Linked DNA regions of Ovis aries. The protein of the gene in region 2 interacts with the protein of the main gene of each other region in a pairwise test. Links are inferred from orthologs where the notes say so. Each region holds a gene or a part of one and is shown on either strand. Other genes may lie near its edges.

Region 1 (4,387 bases), on a different chromosome or scaffold from region 2:
CATATCTAGTCTGGTGGTAGGTATATGTATGTCTCTCACATCATTTCTGTAAGTTTGAATTACTTTTGTAAAAAATTTTATTGAAGTATAATTGATTTACATTGCTGTGTTAATTTCTGCTGTACAGCAAAGTGATTCAGTTATACATATATATATATATATATTCTTTTTTATATTCTTTTCCATTATGGTTTATCACAGGTTTCAATTACTTTTACACTACAATTTTAAAAGAAAATATGAAACACTATAAAGAAGAAAAGATCCTGATGCAGGGAAAGATTGAGAGCAGAAAGAGAGCAGGGTGACAGAGGATGAGATGGCTGGATGGCATCACTGACTCAATGGACATGAGTTTGAGCAAACTCGGGGAGATGTGAAGCTCAGGGAAGCCTGGCGCACTGCAGTCTCGGGGTCACAGAGTCAGACACAACTGAGCGACTGAACTGACCTGATGAAGAAGCAAGTAAACTTCATTCATCATGCCATCACTCCAAATGTGCCAGTGCTCATATTTTGGTATAGCTCCTTGGTGTCTTTTTCTAAACATATTTTTATATATTTTTAACTTATGTATAGACATTGCTTTGCTGACTAAGGTCTGTCTAGTCAAGGCTATGATTTTTCCTGTGGTCATGTATGGATGTGAGAGTTGGACTGTGAAGAAAGCTGAGCGCCGAAGAATTGATGCTTTTGAACTGTGGTGTTGGAGAAGACTCTTGAGAGTCCCTTGGACTGCAGGGAGATCCAACCAGTCCATTCTGAAGGAGATCAGCCCTGGGATTTCTTTGGAGGAATGACGCTGAAGCTGAAGCTCCAGTACTTTGGCCACCTGATGTGAAGAGTTGATTCATTGGAAAAGACTCTGATGCTGGGAGGGATTGGGGGCAGGAGGAGAAGGGGACGACTGAGGATGAGATGGCTGGATGGCATCATGGACTCGATGGACGTGAGTCTGAGTGAACTCTGGGAGATGGTGATGGACAGGGAGGCCTGGTGTGCTGCGATTCATGGGGTCGCAAAGAGTCGGACACGACTGAGTGACTGAACTGAACTGAACTGATGTATATTTATATATTTAAACTTAATTGATAACCCATTGTACATATAATTTTGTATCCTTTTTTTTCTATTCAAAAAATCCTTATGGTGCTTTAAAAGGCATTGTTGGACATAACTGGGGCAGAAATGAATACTATTTGAGAATCTGACCCACAAGCCAGAACACTTTTACTTGAACCGTGCCTGGTTCTGAGTCAGCTCTGGGGTATGGGCTCAATAGTGTGTGTTGTCTACTATTACCAGCTGTCCCTGGTAGAAGGTCTTGAGCTTTTGGCAGAGAATATGTGTGTGTATGAGGTTTTTCATACCTAGTTTTTTAAAGAAAACAGAAAAATTTACATATCTGCACACAATATATTTTCTACTCATATAGAATTCAATAGCTAATTTTCAAGTGTGGAAGAATTGGTGCATTAAGTTAACTGAGCACAAGAAACTGAAATTTTAAAAGGAAGAAGAGCGTGAAAATGACAAGGCTTTACATACATGAGGAATGTGACCTGGGTCTAAAGGCACACAGCCCTGAACTATGGCCATTCAGAGAATGCTCACCAAAGGCTTCCTCTCTCGCTTTTAAAGTTGCTGCTTTTATGTTCTGGTCACAAACCTGAGCATCCCAGGCCATGGTGTCACCCTGGGTAAGGAAAACAATGGGAGAGAATAAGAGCCAGACAATTTTATTCAGTTGATAACAATCCTACTTATTTTTTTATAAACCAAATCGTCTCATACCCAAATGCCCTTGTGTGCCTCTGTTGGTTCTTCAGCCTGTCTTAACTTTCCCTAGAGCTTCCTTCTCCCTTTCTTAGTCAGTAGGTCCTCATCCTCAGAACACTACTTAAGCATTACCTCCTCAGCAGCAGCAGCAGCCTCCGGGAAGCCCTCTCTGCTTTCCTCTCCCAGCCCTAGTTGCCTGGACTTCCCTGCATTATAATGTGGCCATTTTAACGCCTGCCTCATCCACTGGGCTATCAACTTCACAAAGTCAAGGATCGTCTTATCCCTCATCTCCAAGGCCTGGCTCAGGTTTGCCACAAAATAAGAACTCTCTCTACTGGCATCTGTCTGTTGAATGGACTGGAGGAAATCCCTGGCAATGTAGAAAGTCTGGCTCAGAGAGAGGAGAATCGCATTCCAGTCTCTGGCCACTAACTCCAGGTAAGCTCGCTCCCCGCTGCAGGACTCAATTTGCCTGACTGGCAAGTGACAGGGAGCATTTTTCGGTCTTGTTCTGAGGTCTCCCTCATTCTCCGCAAACTCAATACGTGGAACAATTCTTCCCGGCAAAGCTTGGATCCGTCCGCGGCTGTGCCTGGATCACAAGTTTCATTCCAATAGTTCATCATCTCTTGCCGCTCGCTGCTCGCCTCTCTTGTTTCCCCCGCTCCCTTGTCCCCCTCCCCTCCCCCACCATTCCCTCCTGGCTCCTCTCCCTTCCGATCCGGAGGGTCTCACCCCGATGACCCTGTTCCTGGCGTTGAAAATCCGTTTCTGCCTGCCCAGCTCTGCATATCTTCTTTTGGCCAGGACAAAATCCTCCTGCAGGTCCTTGGGCTCTGCTACCTCCATGACTGCGAATTGCTAAGAAATTCTAAAAGGTTTCAAAAACATGCGAGATTAAGAGAGAAAACAACAAAAATAAAACTAGCTCAAGCCCAGCGAGGCTGGCTCCCTAGGAGTCCGGGCAGGTGGGATGCGAGCCTGCCCAAGAGGCTTTCAATCGGCCTTCTCTCACTGCCCCAGAGGCCTGGAGTCTCGGTTTCCTCGGAAACGTAAACATCTCCGGTTGCTAAGAAACAGCGCAGGGCTCGCAGGTGTTCTCGCTTTCCTCTCGCGAGACCGCACGAGGCGCTTCCCGCGCTTTTCCCGCCAGCGTGAGAGAACACAGCTGAGGCGCGGAGGGCGCAGCCATGAGCCGTTTGGAAGTGCTGCTTGTGGAGAACTTTAAGTCATGGCGGGGCCGCCAGGTCATAGGCCCCTTCAAGAGGTTCACCTGCATCATCGGCCCCAACGGCTCTGGTAACTCGGGACCTAGAATGTCTTCTCCCGCCGCAGTCGGCCGAGCCGCCTCTTGCCTGAGGAAACGTGAGGGAGGCCTCAAGGCCTGGTCTCAGGCTCGACCCTCGCCACCCACCTCAGGGACAGGGTGGGATGATGGATGGGGTGGGAAGCGACCCTCAGACTCCATCCAGGGCGGGTTGGAAGTGGCAGGGAGCCTCCTCTCGCCGGCCAACCGTTCCCCTCGGCCCCGGCCCCCCGACTGCACCCCCCGAGAGCCTGACCCTCCTCTGCTGCCCGAGCTCCCTGACCTCAGACCGCATCCTGGGGCCTGGCCCTCACTCGCTGCCCCAGCTCCCCGACCCTCAGACCGCACCCCCAGGGGCCTGGCCCTCACTCGCTGCCCCAGCTCCCTGACCCTCAGACCGCACCCAGGCCAGACCCCCGCCCTGCAGCCCCAGCCCCAGGGTTCCACCCTGGACTCTCCTCTCCTTCACCCCTGCTTCTCTGCGCTGTGGGTTCCTCCTCTTGCCCTTAGCCGTGGTTGGTCTCCTCTCCATCCCCTTCCCTTTCTCATCTAAAAGGACATAATGGGAGTGAGATTGGGAGGAAGTCATTGGTTTCAAGGGCCTTGAACAACTGTTTGGATCCAAGGAACCCTCGCAGGAATATTATGGAAATGACTGCGATAATTGAGCTTTCCCCAAATTCCTGGTACCCTTCTTTTTGTTTAATCCTCACAAATGCATATAATTCCCATTTTACAGTGGAGGGAACTGAGGTTCAGAGGGTCCAGATGACTTTCCAAGATTGCCCAGTAAGTGGCAGAGTCTGGACTGGAATTGGGGCCTGGCCAGGTTCACCTTGGCTCCATGATTGGAAAGAGTGGGTTAATGACCCAAAGCAGGTGGGAGTAAGCTCTAAAACAATAGTGACCTTGAGATTTTTCCCAAATCTGGAGACTCCAATTTGGCTTTCTCAGTCCAGATTTCCTTTCTTAGCTCAGAAACCTTTTCTGAGTTGAAAGAGACCTGTTGCCTCAGTAAATTAATGTATATGTCAGACACGAATAGGAGGCACTTAAATGTGTGCCTTCTGGGCACACCAAATCTGGAATATAATTATTGTGGAAGTGTAAATTTTCTGTTGCATTTTAAAAACAGCTGTTGTTTAAGGTTTTCTTTTGCACTTAGTATATGTGAAAGAATGTGCTTAGTTACTAAGTCCGTCTTTTTCCGACCCTGTGGACTGTAGCCCACCAGGCTCCTCTGTCCATGGGGATTCTCCAGGCAAGAAACTGGAGTGGGTTGCTATGCCCTCCTCCAGG
Region 2 (3,642 bases):
TAGCTGCAGTCTAAACCCCTTCCTTCTGTGCTGCTGCTGCTGCTGCTGCTAAGTCGTTTCAGTCGTGTCCAACTCTGTGCGACCCCACAGACGGCAGCCCATTGGGCTCCTCCATCCCTGGGATTCTCCAGGCAAGAACACTGGAGTGGGTTGCCATTTCCTTCTCCAATGCATGAAAGTGAAAAGTGAAAGTGAAGTCGCTCAGTCGTGTCCGACTCTTCGCGACCCCATTGACTGCAGCCCACCAGGCTCCTCCATCCATGGGATTTTCCAGGCAAGAGTACTGGAGTGGGATGCCATTGCCTTCTCCTGCCTTTATAAAATGTGACTGTGTGAATGAACTTGTATATCCCTCTTTGGGCACTTAGGTTTCACTCCTAAACACGTCACCATTCCACTAGTCTCTGTTTTCATATATAAATCTCTCCTTGTTTCATCAAAGATAGACTTTGTGTTTCTGTTTCTTATTCTTCTGCTGTTCTTAGGGTGACTTAAGAAAGGTAACGAAAGCAGAAAGGTATTTACTCCATTATCTTTATACTGAAAGTCTCTTAGATTTCTTTTTTCTTTTGCCACACCATGTGCCTTGTGGGATCCCAGCTCCCCAAACCAGGAATTGAACCCATGCCTTTGTCGGTAAAAGCACAGATTCCTAACCACTGAACTTCCAGGGAATTCCCTCTTAGATATTGACTTTAAAATGGAATTTGAAAGAGAGTCTACATTTTAATTATACAAATTCTGTTGGATATTCTATAAATATCAGTGATAATATTACTATTTTTCTCTAATTAAAAAAATCCAATACTGCTTCCTTGTATATGAAGATTCTTTCTTTTTGATTGACAGAGTCGTGTTGGTATCCAACTATACACGAACCCTGGATATTTTACAAGAAGTCTGCAAGCGTCATGGATATGCTTATACAAGACTTGATGGACAGACCCCAATCTCTCAAAGGCAGAAAATTGTTGATGGCTTTAATAGTAAATACTCTCCTGATTTTATTTTTTTGTTAAGTTCAAAAGCTGGTGGTGTGGGGCTTAACCTTATTGGAGGATCTCACTTAATCCTCTATGACATTGATTGGAATCCAGCTACTGATATCCAGGTAGGACTGTTTCTATATTAAACAAACAGTATAAAATGCCAAAGGGGGATACGGTGCCTGCGGGGATATGAGGGTGATGATGAAGTATAAGAACTGCTGCATATTCAGCCCTTTTTTTGTAGCAGGCATTCCACTAAATGCTTTACATCTGTCCAGTCCTCACAGTAGTCCTACAGGTGTGCATGCTGTAAGCTCCGTTTTGCAGATGAAGGTATGGAAGCTTGTTCCAGGTCACATAGCTTGTAAGAGGCAGAGTCAGGATTCACACCCAAGCCTGCATGTCTCCAGGCCCTACTTGACTCTAGTTAGCGGGGCCTTCAGGATGCCCATGGCCATCAGGGGAAGACAGCAAGGTGTTAGTAGGCGCCATGATCGGTGTTCGTGTAGGGTATAGTGAAGATGCAGGATTAGCTTCCTTAGGAAAATCTCTCAGAAGCAGCCTTTGGTTTTCTTCAGAGTACAGTCCATCTTCACAGATTTTGAGGTTTCTACCTATAGATGTGCACCTCACCTGGTAGCTGTGTTAGGGGACTGGGAGACAACCCTCAGGTTCAGTGATTCACTAGAAGGACTCACAGAATCAAGAAAAACAGTTTTACTCAAGTTAGGCTTTATTACAGTGAAAGGATACACAGGAAAATCAGCACAGGTAAAAGGTACTTAGGATGGAGTCCAGGAGAGAGCAGGTACAAGCTTCCAGTTTTCCTTTCCCTATGGAATTGTATGGACAACACTTAATTTTCCTAGCATCAGTGAATGACAACACCCATGGAATTTTGTCAACCAGAGAAGTTCACCTGAGCCTTGATGTCTAGACTTTTGTTGGAGGTTGGTCAGGTAGGCACGGATTGGCCTCTGCAAAGGTCAAACTGGCCCAAGTCCCCACCTAAATCACATCGTTAGCATAAACAGCTCTATGGCCCAAGACCCCAGGTAACCTAAGATGCTTTTATCAGGTACAGTATTCCAGGGGCTTCCAGAAGTTGGTTGAGGGCCATGATTTTCTTTGGAATGTTCAGGGTTTGAGCATCAACTTTTTACTAAATAGTATCACTGATAAATCTTAAAACCTCAGGGATCTGCCTAGAGCCTGAGCTGATTGCAGGTATCCTAAGGTTCCTTAGAAGTGAATCATTAGCCTGTTGGACCGAGAATAAACCCTCCATGCCCATGCTATCCTTGGTTCTTTGCATTCTTACTTCCCAAACTTGCTATCCCAGTTTTTTTTCGATGCAGATAGACCCTCTCACTGTTGCATGGCATCCTGTATTTTACAGTACCATAGCGAGAGTTCATCCCTTTCTTTAACTCAGGAAAAAAAAATTGAAGTGGAGAAGGCTTAGTTATGCCTGGGCTTTGGTTTTTGAAGCTGTAAGTGAAATCTAGAATTCCTAGTCTTAAATTTATGAACACAAGTTGCTTATGTGGAGAAGGTTTCTATTTTACTTTCAGAATTCTCATTTATTTTCTACAGGCAATGTCTAGAGTGTGGAGAGATGGTCAGAAGCACCCTGTACATATTTACAGACTCCTAACCACAGGTAGTAACCCTTCAGTATGAAAAAAGGTGTATTCTCTTTGAGTAAATAAAGGTATTTTGTGTGTTAAACTGTGCTTCAGTACCAGGAATATTATTTTGTTAGCTAGTATAATAATAAACATATTTTACCCTACCAAAATGCCAGTTGTAAAGATCTGAAGGAAATCTAATGAATGTTTTCTCTTCAGGTACAATAGAGGAAAAGATCTATCAAAGACAGATCAGCAAGCAGGGTCTTTCTGGGGCAGTTGTAGACCTATCCAAGACATCTGATCATATTCAGTTTTCAGTGGAAGAACTTAAAAATTTGTTCACATTGCATGAAAGTTCACATTGTGTTACTCATGACCTGCTTGACTGTGAGTGTACAGGAGAAAATCATACAGGTTAGTTGTATTTTAATTCTGTTATGATGATGAAGTTAATTGGTCTCTCTTTAGCAGTTGAAAATATTTAAAAACAGAATGACTAAAATATTGACCACTTGCATGTTAGTTTCTTTTTTCTTCAGGTCTTAGGGCAGCTGCAACATGGATATTTGAAAAATTTTTTTTGCCCCCCCCCCCCCCCCCCGCTGCTGCCTTTTGTTTTTAATTGGAGGATAATTGCTTTACAGTGTTGTGTCGGTTTCTGCTGTGCGACAGCATGACTCAGATATAAGTGCACATGTATCCCCTGCCTCCTGAGTCTCCCTGTCACCCAGCCGAGATGCGCGTGCTGCACAGCTGCTTCCCGTGCAGCTGTCCCACACGTGGCGCTGTTGATCTGTCAGGGCTGCTCGCGCAGTCCATACACGCCCCCTCCTCCCCAGCTGGTCCACAGTCTGTTCTCTTCGTCTGCGTCTCTGCTCCTGTCCTGCACATAGGTTCGTCAGTACCGTTTTTCTAGATTACATATGTATGTATTAATATACGACATTTTCCTCTTTTTAACTTAACTTCACCCTGTATAACAAGCTTCAGTTTCATCCACCTCACTTCAGCTGACTCAC

The links.
Region 1: the proteins of RAD54B (region 2) and RIBC2 interact in a two-hybrid assay, tested with the Homo sapiens proteins (2 studies listed by BioGRID and IntAct). The two-hybrid records come from large-scale screens. The link is inferred for Ovis aries from reciprocal best matches to the Homo sapiens genes RAD54B and RIBC2.

The regions. Positions count from the first base shown.
Region 1 is NC_056056.1:221,716,219-221,720,605, reverse strand, and holds the start of RIBC2 (RIB43A-like with coiled-coils protein 2), read right to left. Parts: upstream 2,812-4,387; 5' UTR 2,632-2,811; coding exon 2,518-2,631; intron 1,697-2,517; coding exon 1,615-1,696; intron 1-1,614. Other genes in the region: SMC1B (structural maintenance of chromosomes protein 1B), read left to right, coding at 2,973-3,081. UniProt on the Homo sapiens protein: Microtubule inner protein (MIP) part of the dynein-decorated doublet microtubules (DMTs) in cilia axoneme, which is required for motile cilia beating.
Region 2 is NC_056062.1:82,873,713-82,877,354, forward strand, and holds part of RAD54B (DNA repair and recombination protein RAD54B), read left to right. Parts: intron 1-849; coding exon 850-1,111; intron 1,112-2,585; coding exon 2,586-2,652; intron 2,653-2,839; coding exon 2,840-3,037; intron 3,038-3,642. UniProt on the Homo sapiens protein: Involved in DNA repair and mitotic recombination. May play an active role in recombination processes in concert with other members of the RAD52 epistasis group.